Arabidopsis thaliana: one gene and its partners. The protein of the gene in region 4 interacts with the protein of the main gene of each other region in a pairwise test. Each region holds a gene or a part of one and is shown on either strand. Other genes may lie near its edges.

Region 1 (4,207 bases), on a different chromosome or scaffold from region 4:
GATTTTTCATTTTAAAATTAGTTTGTAGTATTATATTTGGGGTTTTTATTTCCAATTTAGGGTATATATTTCCACTATTTAAAAGTTTTTTGATTCAATTACTTCTTTTGCAATAAATATCTAATATTTTTTTATTCTTTAAAGTGGTTCAAAATCTGGCATTTGTTAAAAAGAAACAAAAAATTGTCACTCTTTCTCTATGAAACATATTACTATTATATTGTTTAAAAAACAAGAAACTATATTATTATCAACACTTTTCTGTTGTTTATTAGCTAATACTCCCAAAACATTTTTTTTGGACAAATACTAATACCCCCAAAAACTAATAAGCTGTTTTTTCTTACGTTACAAGCATATAAATTCTTATGTTTGTTAGGTCAGTCAATGTTTTCTTTCATTTCGTTCATATCTAGAGTTTCAAAGGCCTTTGCATTTCACATTTTCTACATAAAATTAATGTTTTCTTTTCCGTCTAAAAATAGACCAGTCAGGCTTTGGCAGTAAAAGATCAAAGTAAAAAAATAAAAACAAAAAGTTTGTTCAAATGGCGTTTTCACATGGCAGTTTGTTCATTGACTTCTCAATTTTTCTTTATTGACTTAAAAAAAATAATCTGAATATATATGTTGGGAATTTCAAAACCTAACAAAAGGTAAGTACAAAGACTTAAGGACAAGGAAAACCAAGCTGTCACAACCTAATTAGTAATTTAAAATGTGTGATACAATGATGATTAAAAACAAAACAAAGACTTAAAAAGATTTCTAAAGTTAATCAATGTTTGTAACTGTTTGGACGAGATTCCAAAGTGACGAATCTTTTGATACATAAAACTGTACATTACATCAGCTCTATTTATGAGTAAATGACAACTTTATGTGGTAAATAAAATGGTTTAACGATAGTATATGTTATTATCATATTTAATCTCCCCAGCCTTAGTATATTTTAAAGTTGGGTCTTACCAAATTCATGAAAGAACTTTAACACACACAAAATTCATAGAAGAACTTTTTTTTAGCATGATACTAAATTTACATGATCTAAAACTCAAACAAAATGTAATATCTATATATATTATGCTGGTTTTTTTTTCAATATGATTTTTTAATTGTTTGGTACTTGATATTAATACTAAAATGCAATTTTATTTATTTATTGAATTATTGACTTAATTTGTAATAAAATCTAATAAAAACATTACACGTATTAGTGTATTACATATTTTTTAAACAACTAAGTAATAATTTACGGTTATAAATTTTTAATACAAACGGCTCTGTTTATGAATATTTGTAGTTTAAGGTTTTTGCATACAAATTAAGAAAACATACAAATCTCATTTAATTTATCTATTTCTTATAAAAACACCATTAATTACAACTAATCCAACCAATAAAAAAATATGATGCAAAATATAATTGGTTAAAAACTATTAAATACATTTAATGTTTGCATAGAAAAGTGAAAACAACATTTATATTGAAAAAAATAAAAAATTATTGAACTACACTTAATTAAAAACAGAGGATTATAGAGAATTTAAGAGAGAATATTGGATTTTTTTTCCTTCTAATATTGCAAAAGAAGAATCTCTTGAAAAAGATTTGATTATCTTTGATAAAATCTTAATTCTTACTATCAATGAGAAAAAATCGAATAAAAAAATAACCAAAGTGGTAGTAATAAATAAATGTGGAAAATCTCTCAAAAGACCGAAAACCATCTCTCTCTATCTCACAATAAAGACAACTTCTCTCTTTTAATGTCTCTCTGTCCCTCTCTCTTCTTCTTCATCTTCTAACACCAATTCAAGAAAGAAGGAAGCTTAAGAAGAGTCTATCATCAATCAATGGAGTTTCATCTTGAACATCCTCTCTCACATTCTTCACTCCACAATAACTTCAACGACGACACAGACTATGAAACTTTACCACACTCTCTCTTCCTCGTCGAGTTTCAACACATGCCTTCTTCTCATTACTTCCATAGCCTCAAGTCCTCTGCTTTTCTTCTCTCTAATCGAAACCAAGCCATTTCTTCAATCACTCAGGTCTTTTTAACCAAAATTATTTTCTGGGTTTAGTTCTGAATACTGAATCGTTATCGAAAGACTTAACTTTATTTTAATTTGTAACTGAACAATCGCAGTATTCAAGAAAATTCGACGACCCATCTCTGACGTATCTTGCTGTGAATTATCTAGACAGGTTCTTGTCTAGCGAAGATATGCCGGTAAAAACAGAATCTTCCGACAGAATCTGTCCTTTGTTTCATCTGAGTTTTGACTAAATTGTTTTGTCAACAGCAGTCAAAGCCCTGGATTCTTAAGCTCATATCTCTCTCTTGTGTCTCTTTGTCTGCAAAAATGAGGAAACCAGACATGTCTGTTTCTGATCTTCCGGTAACTTAAAACTCATGAATCTTTATAATGTGAATGTGTTTTAAAGTGTTGATAAGTGTCTGAACATTGGATTTTTTTCAGGTGGAAGGTGAGTTTTTTGATGCTCAGATGATAGAGAGAATGGAGAATGTGATTCTAGGAGCTCTTAAATGGAGGATGCGCTCTGTTACTCCTTTCTCCTTTTTGGCCTTTTTCATTAGTCTCTTTGAGCTCAAAGAAGAAGATCCTTTACTACTAAAACATTCCCTCAAATCTCAAACCAGTGATCTTACTTTCAGTCTTCAACATGGTAAATACAGAATTGCTTTTCTTCAATCACATAATCACAATATGCTAAAATCTGTTTGAAAACGCTGCAGATATCAGTTTCCTCGAGTTTAAACCATCGGTGATTGCAGGCGCGGCACTTCTCTTTGCTTCTTTCGAGCTCTGTCCTCTACAGTTTCCATGTTTCAGTAACAGAATCAACCAATGCACATATGTAAATAAGGTAAAGAAGTCTTGAACAAGTAAACCATCTCAAATCGAGCTTTTTTTTCATCGCGGTACTAAGCGAGCATTAAACCGTGGTTGCAGGATGAGTTAATGGAGTGTTACAAAGCAATACAAGAGAGAGATATTATAGTTGGAGAAAACGAAGGAAGCACTGAAACAGCAGTAAATGTGCTTGATCAGCAATTCTCGAGTTGTGAAAGCGATAAGAGCATCACAATCACAGCTTCTTCTTCACCTAAGAGGAGGAAAACTAGTACTCGTCGTTACTAAGCTGAAAAAGGTGGTTAATGGTCAAACATAATCGTCAGATGAAATCAATCACTTAGCTACTTCAAAAACCACTTCTGGTCCCCTTATGAAAATGACACTTGCTTCCTTTCCCCTTATCTCCATCCATCTTCTTCTGCTTCAAAAATAAACCATTTCTCTCTTCCTGGAAGACAAGAGAGTGATGAATGATCAAAGACAAAGTCTCGGGTTCTGTTCCGTTGCTTGTTCCTTTGGACCACAACACAAAACTCAAAAAATTCAAAAGAAAAACAAATTACCAGTCTGTAGTATTTATCTATCTATCTACCTATCAATCATGTTCTGTATTTACAGTTTTGGCTTGTGGAGTTAAGTTGTTTCACTTGGGGGGAATAATCAATAAATATTGTTCTTGTGTAGTGTATATAACCCTATGGTTATGTTATTTATTAATGAACAAATGTGGTCACGAGATAACAATGAATTCAATTTTCAGGAATAAGATTTTGTCTTATGAGACTTCGTTATCCGACTTATATGGATCCAGTTGCCAGAATCTCTGTTGCAGGCAGGCAATATGATACTCTTTGGACCACTTTACACAGTCTTTAAATCATTCAATTGCTTTTGTTCTTACTGTAAATGAATCCCTTGCACTAACCCATATTAGGCCCACTAGCATCATAACGGCCCAAGATTGTGATATACAAGATCCATTCAAGCCCATTACTTAATGAAAACAATTGCAAGACTCAGACTGTGCTGAAAAGAATGTATACCATGGTTTCCAATTTCAGACATTATTGAGAAGCTATAAGAATCAAAGCTTCTGATGTATGTAATGCACAACAACAAAACACAAAGATGAAGAAGATGAATAAAGGGAAGAAAGTGTGTATCTATCACATCTTCATCGTTACCTCGCTAAGGAAATCGCAGGCAATGAAAGAGGGAGAGAGAGAGATCAGATAGGTCCGAGAGTTCCTTCACTTCGACTTCTTCGCATGGAGAGCTCAGTTCTCAGACTAGACAATCTATCACCAGTAGCAACGTGAT
Region 2 (4,031 bases), 230 kb from region 4:
ATCTCTTCAATGCTATTTGGTCCTGTGTGATAACAAGACTCTTCATGGAAGGTATATTTATTTAATGTTATGACATGACATAGCAATGGCAAGAAGTAGATAAAGTGATATGTGTACGTAATGTTATGTGTATATCCCAACCTGTTTTGCTTTTCACCACAACTGAATTGAACACAAGTACTTGGACCAACCCAAGTGTTGGTCTCTCTGCATTTCCTCTCAAATCAAACCTCCCAAAAATAGAACAAAATTTATTAGAACATTTTTTAAAAATAAAACTTAAAACTTTGGAGGAGTAGCTAACAAACTCTCTAGTTGTCCAACACTATTGGTCATCCAACTAACTCAATCGTTGTCTCTTCAATTCAAACTTCAAAGGACAAATTTCCACATACCTGTACTAAGTACTAAACAATCATGTATGTGATGTTTTAGACCAATGCCAATAGTGTAATGGTAATGTTTGTGTATAATCTTTGACTGTTATCTTTCTACTTGCAAAATGCAGAGGTTGTGAGACGAAATTAGATCATCATCAAGCCATGAAAAAGGTAAGATCCAGCGGAAACTTTTAATGTAAAAGAACTTTGTTTTTAGAATATCAAATAACGAAACGTACACCATTTGCAACCGTCCATAAACACAAGAACCGAGAACCATATAGCCGATAATATGTAAAACATGGAAACAGATTTTAGGTAACTAAACCGACACATTTTGATGGGTTGTTGACATTATTAGCGAGGACTACTACTAAGCACATCGAAAAACATTCGGTTTATTGAAGATAGCCTCATCTGCTGCTCTTGCACTCTTCTCCTCTTGAGCAAAGGCTCTGAAGATGGTGAAGACGACACTGAAGCAGAAGCAGACACAACCCACGACTCATTCGAGCTATCAGAACTGAATGACGCATCAAACACACCGATCGGACTAGCGGGTTGTTGCATCCAATTCATCATCCTTTTCTTGCTTGGACTGTGGTCTAACACTAACTCATAGCATTTATTTACCTTCTCCTGTTTCAAGTATAATGATGATAAAATCAGTTCTAGATCCTTAAACCTTACACTAATCACATTGGCATTTATTGATCAAAGACACCGTAACCACATACCGAATCAACTTTGAGTAGAGTCATGAGCTGAGATTGGTATACAGCTTCGTCACACATCTTCAAATCTCTAATAACAGAGACCATTATTGCAGTGGCTAACACAGAAGGACTAAAACTCAGAAATCTCGAATCTGAAAAGAAACCAAGAACAGAAAATTTAGCATCCACAACAAAATCAAGTAGATTCAAGAGATCTAAACCTAATGGTAAACATTACCAGGAATAATGGAGAGTAATAAAGATTCACATCTACTCAAGAACTCCAATTGATGATGAGATTTAAAGCTGTATCGTCGAATAATGTGATCGAAAAACGAGATTGGAGTCACAGGATGCATCCTCCAGTCAAGAGTAGACAGAACAAGAAGCTCCATTCTCTGTATAGTCTTAGCTTCAAAGACATATCTTGCTTCTTCCACCTTACAAAAAGACCAAACACAAGTCTCAAAAATCTGCAATTTCACAAAATTGAATCTGAGAAAAAGTGAGAAACTTACTTGAAAATCTAAGAGAAAAGGAACACGGATCTCTTCAACCTTAGCAGCTAAAGACAGACAAGCCAAAGCAGTAAGCTGAGACATCCATGGCTTATCTGTCTGAAACTTCCTGCTTGTAATAAACCTATCGAAGTAATTAACAGCTAAAAGAGCCGTCAATGAATTAAACCCATAATGAGATTTCACTTTAAAAATCCAATCAAGAGCCTTTTCACGACACAAAACCAGAAACTCATCATCTAAGATTTCGTCATAAAGACACGGTTCTTGTTTCGAAATCAAAGTTGATAACTCATCATCATCCCACAACATATCATGATCAGACAAACCCAGATTTAAAAAAGGAAACTTTTCAACACTCTCGTCGCACAAATCTACTTGTTCGTGAAACTCACTCTCTTCCTCACAGAAAAGACCATCAAGAACACAAAACGGTGCGTTTTGACTCTCTTCCTCCTCTTCTAAAGCCATGATTTTTCTCTTCCGAGAAGAAGATGATTGCTAATTCCTTTGTTCATTCTGCCATTAGAGACTCTCTGGATTCTTCACTCTGTGTGAGATAGAAAGAGAGATAAAAGAAGTGAAGACAAATGCCAAAGAAAGTGAAGGGTTTTATTTCACGCTTGTCCTCTTTTTTTTTTCTTTTTTTTTATTAAAAGATTTTATGTTTTTTTTTTAATTTTATTTTTATTTTCTCTCTCTGCTTTTATTTTGTCTTTTAATATTCGGATGTTTGGCGCGCGAGAAAATTAATGAAACCGTACTTCTTCTTTGTTTTATTCACAGAAATGGAAAAATCTTTTCTTTTGTAATTAATTTCCTATCTCCATAAATTAATTATAAATTGAAATCATAACTATGAATTAATTAAAATCTTTAGTTTTAAAAACATACGTACTATTTACAAAAAAGCTTATACTCACGTGCTTATTGAATGTGTAGTTACACGCTTTTGATCCCTGTTCGTTGGATGCGAGTAAAGATACTCTCTGTTAGAGCGTGTGATTCACGCGCTTATGAGGTGGTGGTGGAAGTTTCAGTGGTGGATAAATGCGTTGACCATTAATTATATTTGTCACCTTTCGGTTTCAAGCATCGATGATTACAAGTGAAAAGATTTTTTTTTTTTTTTTTTTTTCGTCATTAGTACTTTGATTTTGGTTAATACAACATAATTTTACATAAACTCTGAAAATATCGTAATGTGTAGAGTCACTGTCATTGTGTTTTTATTCGATTTAAAGATTTATTAATCGTAATTTATTAGTAGCAAATTTTTCACTTTTTTTTTTGGTGAATTAATTTATGATATACGGAAAAAGAAGATTCAAATTGATATATATAATCATATAAAATCACCCGTGGGGTCATATATGTCAGAGGAAAATCCACGTGGACGAATGGGAAGCTTTATATGGTCAACGAGCTGACATAAACATTAGAAAAAACAAAAACATAATTAACTAGGAAAAAAGGACCTCGTTCTGTTAAAACGCTTGCGCTTTATTAGTAAACTACGTTACTTAATTTTTCTTTATGTAACCTATAAAGTTAATTTTTAAATATAATAGCTTGATCTTGATGAGCATTTCAAGTTTAATTCTCACTGCTTTATATGCTAAAAAATCTAAAGACTGAGGACCCAAAAAAGCCGATTAAAATGTAAATGTATTCGATGTACTCGTAACAAAAGTTGTACCAAACTTTAACGTTCAAGATACATAAATGCAACTTATACATATAACTGAGTCTATTTATAATAGTTGTGGAACAAACATTATAGTTAGTAGTACAAAACATAATGTATAATAAATTAAGCTTCTGTTTAAATATTTAGTACTCAATAGTAAACTGAAAGATAATTTCATATTTTACATCTATAGTAGTAAAAGTGTTATTATAAGCAGAGTGAATGATCCTGTTGTCACGTTTACTGCGTTCCTATCGACCTAGACGCGGTTAACAAAGCAACAATTGTTACTTTTTTTTAACACATAGTATATATATTGATGATCTTTATCGATTGTGAAAGAAAGCAATGTGTGGTAAAAAAAAATTGAAAAAATGAAAAAGCAAAAGACAAATAAATAAGGAATGGGGAAAAGTTAATCACGAGAGGAAGAGGCCATTGGTAACAAGCGGGAGAGTCTGAGATTTGTACAAAGTTTAATAGCGACTTCTCATTTCTTACACATTTCATACTATCTTTTAAAAAGATAAAAAAGAAAAACAAAGAAATTCCTTATCATATCGCTTTAAAATGTTGTCTGTTCATAGTCTTTTTAAAAAATATTCCATTTGTTCTATTATGTTTTTTTTGTTGATGTGTAATGGCCAAATAGGTCTACAATATGTTCCATTAGATTGGTAATTTTGCGATTTTATACATTGTTACGATACCATTTTTCAGTTTTTAC
Region 3 (4,603 bases), on a different chromosome or scaffold from region 4:
TTTTATTTCAGGATCATCAAATTGCTAGTATGCCATGCGACAATGGTAGACCCAAATGATTAAATTTAATGAATATAGCATTGGCCCATTTTCTTCATAGTTACAGATCCTAGAGGTTTAGTGGACCTGGAGTCCAATCATTTTATTTATTTTTTGTTAAAAAGTTTTCAATAAAATATTGGGATTTTGGAGTTTTGTTGATAAAAGGTATAAAACGCAAAAGCTCCATAAAGCACAACCTAGCTTTGGTCTCTTTACGTCAACTTTAAGTCAAAGACTTCTGTTCGTGGGCCCAATTCTAAGCCCATTAGTGCGATGCGCGCTTTATCTCACAACGGCACCGTTTGAATTAAAAAAGGTCAACTCTAACGCTCAACAGAACCGATACGGTTTTTTCCCGCTATATTTATTTGGCGGGAACCAATTAAAAAAAGCTCTGTTTTTCCTTTGTTTTATTTTCTTTCTCTTTTTTGCTATTTCCTGCCAACAAAAAATTCTTATAATTTTATTTGTTCAGTATTACCAAAGCTATAAACAAATCAAATATTGAAATTAATACACTTTTATTTATTTAAAAATTTTTGCTTTGATTTATTGTCCTCTTTTTTCAACCTCTCATCAGACATCATACTGATTATAATAATGTAAGAAAAAAACAGTTTTTTTTTTAAGAAAGATGTGTATAAGAAGAAGAAGAATCATGGGTCTTAAAGCTGAAACAACAAGCCGATACTTCTAAAACCCCATTGGGTGTTTGTGAACATAAGTCTGAGCCATCACTCTCTATCATTTCCCCTATCTTCTTCACTCTCTCCTGCAATAAAAGGAACCACAAAGTTTAAAGCTTGACACTTTTGTTTTTGTCTCTTGAACACAAACACAAACACAACACACAAAGATCTCTTCAGCTTTTTCTGGTGTAGAAAAACAACTAATGGAAACCAGGCTGATGTTTTGGATTGCAAGATCAAATCAGAATCAAACATGTTTTTGTGGGGGCAGATTGGTTTTAGATGTGACTAGAGGCTGTGCAGTGAATGTGTGTGTGTGACAGAGAGAGTCACAAGACACATAGCTAGAGAATAATATAATTTAAAGTGGTCTTTGGTCTACTCTCCACTAGTTTTGGAAGTCAAAGGATTCAGACCCATTAACCGGTTTCTCTTTTTTTTTTTTTTTTTTTTTTTACTTTTTGGATTTATAATTACACATATTATGTGTATGCAATGAATAAGTTAGTGCACACACATATATACACATAAATGTGTCATCTTTAATGAGTTCAAACTTCTCCACAACTGGCATTTCCTTGAAATTGAACCACCAAAGGCTGCTTTATATGTGTGTGTGTGTTTGGTATTAAAAAACAATAGATTTATGAGTTTGAGATGTTTGGTGGATTGTTTTTTACCTTTTGAAGTAGTGAGAAAAGAGGAGAGAAGGAAGAGTTGTCAAAGTGTACTCTCTGCAATTCTCCAGAAACAGAAAGTGCCACAGCAGCAGCAACTTCAGAAGGTCTAAACTCCAAAAAGTCAATACCTGCTCACTCGACACAACCACCATTTTAATCCAAAATCATAAAAAGCAAAAGTGAAAAAAACAACAAAACCCAAAAAAGCACAAAAACAAAAGTGGTCAAGAAAATAAAACATAAAGGAAAGACTTTTTTTTTCACCTTTGGTTGTGCTGGCTATCACTTGTAATGATCTAGATATCAATGTGTTGGATGGTTCTTGATCACATTTACTCATCTTTCTCAGGAAATATCTTATGTATGAGCATGGAGTTATTGCTCTCAATCTCCATTTCAATTTGTTCAACACCAAAAGCTCCATTCTTTGGACTGATTTAGCCTCAAACACAAACTGAGGATCTCCAACCTGTTCCGAAATGTGATCAAACCGCAATCGATTCAAGACATTGTCGGGTCGAATAGAACATCTCGACAATTTAACGAGTTTAGAGGAGAACCTGAAGATCTATCAACATTGGAACTTCAGTTTCTTCAATTTTGGCTGCCAATGATAAACAAGCCACAGCCAACAACTGCAATATCCAACCTTTGCCACTCTACAAGAAGAATCACAAATCAAGAAGCGAAAAAATGAGACTTTTTGATGATGAATGGCTAAAAACATTATCAATCTTTTAGTTTAACCAATGTGAACTTACAGGCAAATCATGAACCGATAAGAATCGATCCAAGTAGTTCATTGCTAAGCAAAAACACAATGGTCCAAACTGGTGTACTTCACAAGCCTGTTGTAATCAGAACAGAAGAAAAGATCAATTAGAGATCTAAAACTCTGAGACTGAAGTGAATCTATTGTCAATTGAAGTGTGAAAGATCGGAAATTGAGCATCAGATTTACAGATTTAAGACAAAACCTCTCTATCTGTTCTGCATAAGCCTCTGATCTAATAGACATAGCAACACACTCTTTATGTTCAGATCATTCATCAAAAGGATTGTGCTTTTCACAATTTGAGCTTATACAGATCATTCAAAACCAATCAACATCCAAATTTCAAAACCAGAAATCAAAATCAAATAGAGAATCAGACCTTCCAAATCCAATTGAGGGCATCTCTTCTTCCAACATTCAAATCCAAATCTCCACTTCTAAGTCTCTTGATGTAATCATCACTTGGCAAATGCTGCTTCTCCTTCTCCACCATCTCCATGATAATCTCCTCACTCTCCGATTGAGAAAAACCCATCTGAGGAATCGAAATTTCAATCGGAGTTTCGTCAACAATCATGCCCTCATCATCAACGTTGCTCTCTGTACATAAAAGACTCAGTTCTAGATTCTCCTCTGCCATTACAACAGAGTGTTCATGTAAGAAAAATTGATCCTTTGTATTTGGTAATCGATCTAAAAGGAACTGTATCGTTAGATTGTCATCTAGAGATTGGGGAAGTGAAAGAAAGATTGGGTCTTTGATATTTCTGTATGCCCTCGTGGAGGAAGGGGTTTTTGTTTTGGGGTTGAGGGTAAAATTAAAGGGTGAAGCTTTTCTTTTTTTTATTGAGGAAGTTAAGAAATGTGGTTTTTAGGGTAAGATGGAGATTGTGTGAGAAGGAGAGAGGCTATATATAATGGTGAAGAAGATGAAAAATGTAAGATAAAATTTGAAGATTTTAGAAAGTGAATTGACTATCATGGTAACAAATGTGAGAAGTTGGAAAATTATGAAAATGTGGTAGGAAATTGAGGTGAGAATTGAAAAGTTAGTTGGTTTTATTCGTTGTATTTTAGTTTTTAGATGATGAATCGAGTGAATATCGTTGGTAGTTCGGTATCAGATTTGCGCCATAAGTTTTTTGGAATTTGTATTTCGGTCTTGTATGCATAGTTAACAGTTAACATTTTTGTATATTCAATGGTAAAATATTGAATGTTGAAAGATTTAATCATAGTATATGTCTTTACATATTTTTTGATATTTCATAATTTTATTCCTTGTTTTAATAACAGTAAAATATATATAGTTTGACTAATAGTTTAAAACAGTATTGAATTCTATAAATCTTAGGAAATATTTTTTAACAAAATTGTTTGACTAAATAATGCAATTTGATATTATGATCGAAATATACGCTGAATCATGATATTTTATTTTCAATATCCGACATTGAACAAAATAAAAATGACCCCAAAAAAACTAATGTAAATTCATGCCACAAATAAAAAGAAGTTTTGAATGTAAAATTTGACTCAAAATCCATCTATAATGATATTTGAACCATTTGCTCTGGTAGATCTTTGACCACTGTTTTTTGATTCTAGGGTCACTTTTAGACACAATAATTTCAATATCTATCATCATTGCATATACCTTTGAATGAAAAAGCAGACTGTATATTTGTATAAGAACTACGTCATATACTCATTTAAGTTCAAAATATGGTCTCTGTTTGTTACACAATATGGTCTTTGTTTTTTACACATTATGGTCTTTCTTTAATATGGTTTTAGTTTACCCAAATATACTGTCTTCTGTTTTACCCAACTTATAAGATTTAACTATAAGGTTTTTAATATTTATAAAAGTATTTATTTTTGTTCTCTTGCAAGTTGAGGTCAATAACTAGTGCTCTATCACCTCCAAAGATTCTACATTAGTATATTTGTAAGGAGATTAGTATTTTTTATTTATAAATAGTAATTAGTAATTTTCTACCACATGAAAATAAAGCTAGCTACGCGACGAGTTGCTTGAAAACACCACACGAGAATTTCTTGCTTGAGGTTACATGGCAAATAGTCATCGAGCCACTGGTTTCAACTTTCAACTACTATATAGTCATGTTATGGAATGAAACATCAAACATTAGCTCATTGTCATTTTAGTTAACAAAGTCGTATTTTGTAGGAAGCAAATGAATTACACAAAATTCATTGCAATAATAAAGAAAATTTTTCCTTGAAAACGATTATCTTACTTTCAAAAATCAAATTTCATTCTATATTATATCTGTTATTCTTACAATTTTCATATTTTCTCGTTTCTTCATTATCAGTCGGAGTCTTAAAAAATTGTAAAGATAAACTCCTGTTCATACAATATATTCTTATCCAACTAAGTTTTAGAAATC
Region 4 (3,673 bases):
GACTCAACTTCTTCTTCTTCTTCTTCTTTTTTTTGGTTGTTGCTAATCGAGTATAAATTATAGGCGTTAGGTACACCAACCATATCTAATATCCATGTTATATTAGATAGATAAATTAGGAAAATAAAATAATACAACTCAAAATAGTTACTTTGTTGAAAGAAATTGAGAGGGAAAAACTGGAAGTGTATATTTAAGCTATTTTATTTTTAAAAAATATATAATTTCAAATAGCTAAATTTGTAAAATGCAAGGAGATAGTACAATATTTTAGTTTAATAACTTGTAAAGCACAAACAAGTTCGTAGTTAATCACTAGAGTAGCACCTACAATCCAATCCAAGTGAGAATAAAATAGTAACTTTTTTACTGAAAAAGCCTGATCAATAAACAGTTATATTCCTTTACCACGTCAGCCGTGACCCTTTTTTGTTCTGCTCTACACTCTCTTTTCATTGTTAAAAAAAAAAAATCAAATACTGTATGATAATTGATACATAGAAATAATAGAAGCTATTTAGTTTTCAGTAACAATTATAATTACTCTTAGAGTTATAAACTTATAGTTTATTAATCGAGAAAAACACGAATCTAATTAATTACCTCAAGGAAGTACAAACAAAAGTTGAATTACATGTTATTGATTATTCGAGAGAAAGATATCTACATTTGGATTTTGTTAAAAGAAAAATCAAAGCAAAGATTATTACAGAAGAGAAATAATAAGTACTTTGGTGAAAACAATGATCATCATTATCATCATCGTCTTCTTCATGGATTCAATTTAACCCACTCGTATCTTCCTCCACCAAGTGGCTCATCTTTCTCGAAATCGAAGTTATACCTAACAACAAATTCATTATCAGTTTCAAAAATTCGATTAAAAGATTTGAATCAAAAAAAAAAAACTTACTTCATAGAACATTCCAACAACTTATTCCGAAGATCTTTCTCCGCCACCTGAAAAAAGTCTTCTAACTCAGCTTCCTTCACCGTCTCATGGAGACTCTTCCTTAACCTGCGGCGAGACTCTACATCTTCAACAGCCACCGAAGAAGAATCCATGTTCATCGATTCCTCACTATACACAAAAAAATCAAAGACATTTTATAGAAATGTTTGTTACTGATTCAAAATTTTAATATCTGTAACAAATTAAACAAACCTCTTATTCAAATCATCGTAAATCCACGACGTTTCTGTTTCACGATCGTCACCGTTATTTTCCTGGAAAAACGAATTCAAAAATTTCAAAATCTGTAAATCAAAATTCAGTTTCGATAAATAATGCTTTCGTTGTCACCTCAAGATCTACAAATTCGATTCTCCGTTTCGATTTCTCTTCCGATGTAGAACAACACGAAACCGACGAATCTTCTTCTTCGATTTGACACTGTTCTTCAACCGGAGGAGAATCTCGCCGTCGTACTATAACAACACTCGTCTCCGACGCTCCTGCTGAATTTCTCGCCACAATTCCACCGCGATTCGTCGCCTGTACACACGGAGACAGAATTATCCTAGATTCCACTAAATCCACTTCCTCCTCCATCTTCCTTCGTTTCACCGTCGTCGTCGTAACTCCATTCTCTTCAACCACATCTCGTTCTCTTCTCCTAACCGCCGCCATAATCTCCTACGACGTCACCTTCCAGATCTCTATCTCTCTCTAAAATCACTCGTTATGTGTGCGTGTTTGTGTTTCTCTCTCTTTCTCTCTACTAGAGAGTCTCTAGCTCGCGTACCATTTGGGTTATTCTGTTATAAGATGGTGACGATCTTCGTTTTGATCGTAATTTGTTAACGGCCACGATTAACTCTTGTCATTTTCATATAAAGCCTCGTGTGAAGTAGGAATAGTAATTCTTTTAATATGTAACGGAGAATTTGACGGCGCCGTTAAAAATCGAGTATTTTATACCTTACACGATTGATACGTGTCTTTTATTCGTTACGATTACATTAATAGTTTCAAAGTTTACAAAATCAGTGCAATTAGTGCATATCTAGTTACTTTAGAATGATAAATTTTTTTGAATTCAAATTTTTTTGAATTAATATGTTGTTTTTATTTATTTTAATATAATTGGCTGGCTTTTCCAATAAATCAACGAGAATGAAAATAATTATTGTGGATATTAAGATAAAACTGTTTATTTTTTGTTATAATAATTACGAATTTATATTATAAAGATAACAATAATACCATCAAATTATCATATTAATTCACAGACGATCAAATAGATAAAAAAATGTGTGTAAAGCAATATAATGTATATGCAACATGGAATTTGACAACGATGTTATAGATCGAGTATCTTATACCTTTACACGATCAACATATGTCTTTTATTCGATGTGATTACATTAACGGTGTCAACGTTTACAGAATCAGTGCATATCTACGACTACGTTAACGGTGTCAACGTTTACAGAATCAGTGCATAATTTTTTTTTTAGAATGGTAAATAGAATTTGAATTCAATTTTTTAATTAATATGTTTTCTGTTTTTTAAAATAATTGGTTGGTGTTTCCAATGAAATAGAATGAGAATAATTATCGTGGATTTTAAAAATAAATTTAGATTTGATAATTTTTTGTTGTAATAATTGCGAATTTAGATTATAAAGACAATAAAAATCTTAGATTTATAGAGAAAAATGACAATATCATCCAATCATCTTAAATAGATTAAAAAAAATGTGTGTAAAGCAATGTAATGTTGTCACGTTACATTATTAGTGATAATATGTGTTTCTGTGTTAAGATCTTATCAGTATTTGACAATGTAGTTGTGTATAGTTTTTCAATGCATAGTCGTAATATTTCAATTTTGTGAGGGGGTCGACCGTACACATATCAAAATAAGGTATAAAATACATTAAGTCTAAAATACATTAAGTCTAGGGCCATGACGTATTTAACGGTTAGGTGATAATGAAATCAATGCTGCGACATGCTGTTTTGTTGTGGCAATACAATACGTACACAAACATATTCACATGCTTAAATATTACTACTAATTCACACAGTGAATTAAATACTACTAGTTCATATCGCATACATTTCGTTGGTAAAAATAAAAGAATTTTTTTCCATCATCATTTTCGTCTTATATTGAATTTTTTCTTTTTTTTTAATGCCGTCGTTCTGTATCGATTCTTGAGTTCACACAAGACAGTGTCTGCGCATATCCATCATACCATTCAATTTAATAATGTGCCCACGAGCTGCATACTCAATCATTACTAAACTGTCTCTCTCTTTTTTACACTCACTATAACAATGTGTAAGTATATATACATACTTATGAGATATTCAAAATAAAATAGTGAGCTAAACATATAATGTAGTTTAAAAATTCGCATAATATATGTTGTTGACTTCAAAAGAACAAAGATTATCATAACAATTACTACGAAAATAAAATTATCATATATCTATGTATACATCCGTAGTTCTTAATTATGAAAACTTAAACGCTAGTACCAACAAATGAATCCCTAAGTTTTAAAATCTCTCAATGAATACATATTGATATTCGTTTTGAAGGATAATTTTCGATTTAAATTGTGATAGTATTTATCGTAAAACATTACTTTTAGATATGTCCCAGTTTTTATCCAAATATACATAAAGACTGTGCCTATCATGAAAAGTGAAATTGCAACA

What was found.
Region 1: the proteins of KRP2 (region 4) and CYCD6;1 interact in a two-hybrid assay, tested with the Arabidopsis thaliana proteins (one large-scale study listed by BioGRID).
Region 2: the proteins of KRP2 (region 4) and CYCD3;3 interact in a protein complementation assay, tested with the Arabidopsis thaliana proteins (one large-scale study listed by BioGRID).
Region 3: the proteins of KRP2 (region 4) and CYCD4;1 interact in a protein complementation assay, tested with the Arabidopsis thaliana proteins (one large-scale study listed by BioGRID).

The regions. Positions count from the first base shown.
Region 1 is NC_003075.7:1,431,340-1,435,546, reverse strand, and holds CYCD6;1 (Cyclin D6;1), read left to right. Parts: upstream 1-1,685; 5' UTR 1,686-1,855; coding exon 1,856-2,056; intron 2,057-2,154; coding exon 2,155-2,238; intron 2,239-2,311; coding exon 2,312-2,407; intron 2,408-2,488; coding exon 2,489-2,696; intron 2,697-2,766; coding exon 2,767-2,897; exon of another isoform or gene 2,898-2,983; coding exon 2,984-3,172; 3' UTR 3,173-3,703; downstream 3,704-4,207. Other genes in the region: AT4G03260 (Outer arm dynein light chain 1 protein), read right to left, coding at 4,116-4,207.
Region 2 is NC_003074.8:18,564,585-18,568,615, forward strand, and holds CYCD3;3 (CYCLIN D3;3), read right to left. Parts: upstream 2,251-4,031; 5' UTR 2,086-2,250; coding exon 1,615-2,085; intron 1,537-1,614; coding exon 1,335-1,536; intron 1,249-1,334; coding exon 1,118-1,248; intron 1,020-1,117; coding exon 738-1,019; 3' UTR 550-737; downstream 1-549.
Region 3 is NC_003076.8:26,140,925-26,145,527, forward strand, and holds CYCD4;1 (CYCLIN D4;1), read right to left. Parts: upstream 3,070-4,603; 5' UTR 2,827-3,069; coding exon 2,566-2,826; intron 2,419-2,565; coding exon 2,389-2,418; intron 2,260-2,388; coding exon 2,173-2,259; intron 2,071-2,172; coding exon 1,972-2,070; intron 1,881-1,971; coding exon 1,676-1,880; coding exon of another isoform or gene 1,602-1,675; intron 1,540-1,601; coding exon 1,412-1,539; coding exon of another isoform or gene 1,376-1,411; exon of another isoform or gene 1,189-1,375; coding exon of another isoform or gene 1,186-1,188; exon of another isoform or gene 815-1,185; coding exon 668-814; 3' UTR 546-667; downstream 1-545. UniProt on the Arabidopsis thaliana protein: May activate cell cycle in the root apical meristem (RAM) and promote embryonic root (radicle) protrusion.
Region 4 is NC_003074.8:18,798,465-18,802,137, reverse strand, and holds KRP2 (KIP-related protein 2), read right to left. Parts: upstream 1,833-3,673; 5' UTR 1,631-1,832; coding exon 1,304-1,630; intron 1,228-1,303; coding exon 1,166-1,227; intron 1,082-1,165; coding exon 914-1,081; coding exon of another isoform or gene 910-913; exon of another isoform or gene 845-909; coding exon 772-844; 3' UTR 543-771; downstream 1-542. UniProt on the Arabidopsis thaliana protein: Binds and inhibits CYCD2-1/CDKA-1 complex kinase activity. Regulates cell division which is crucial for plant growth, development and morphogenesis. May regulate early lateral root initiation by blocking the G1/S phase transition.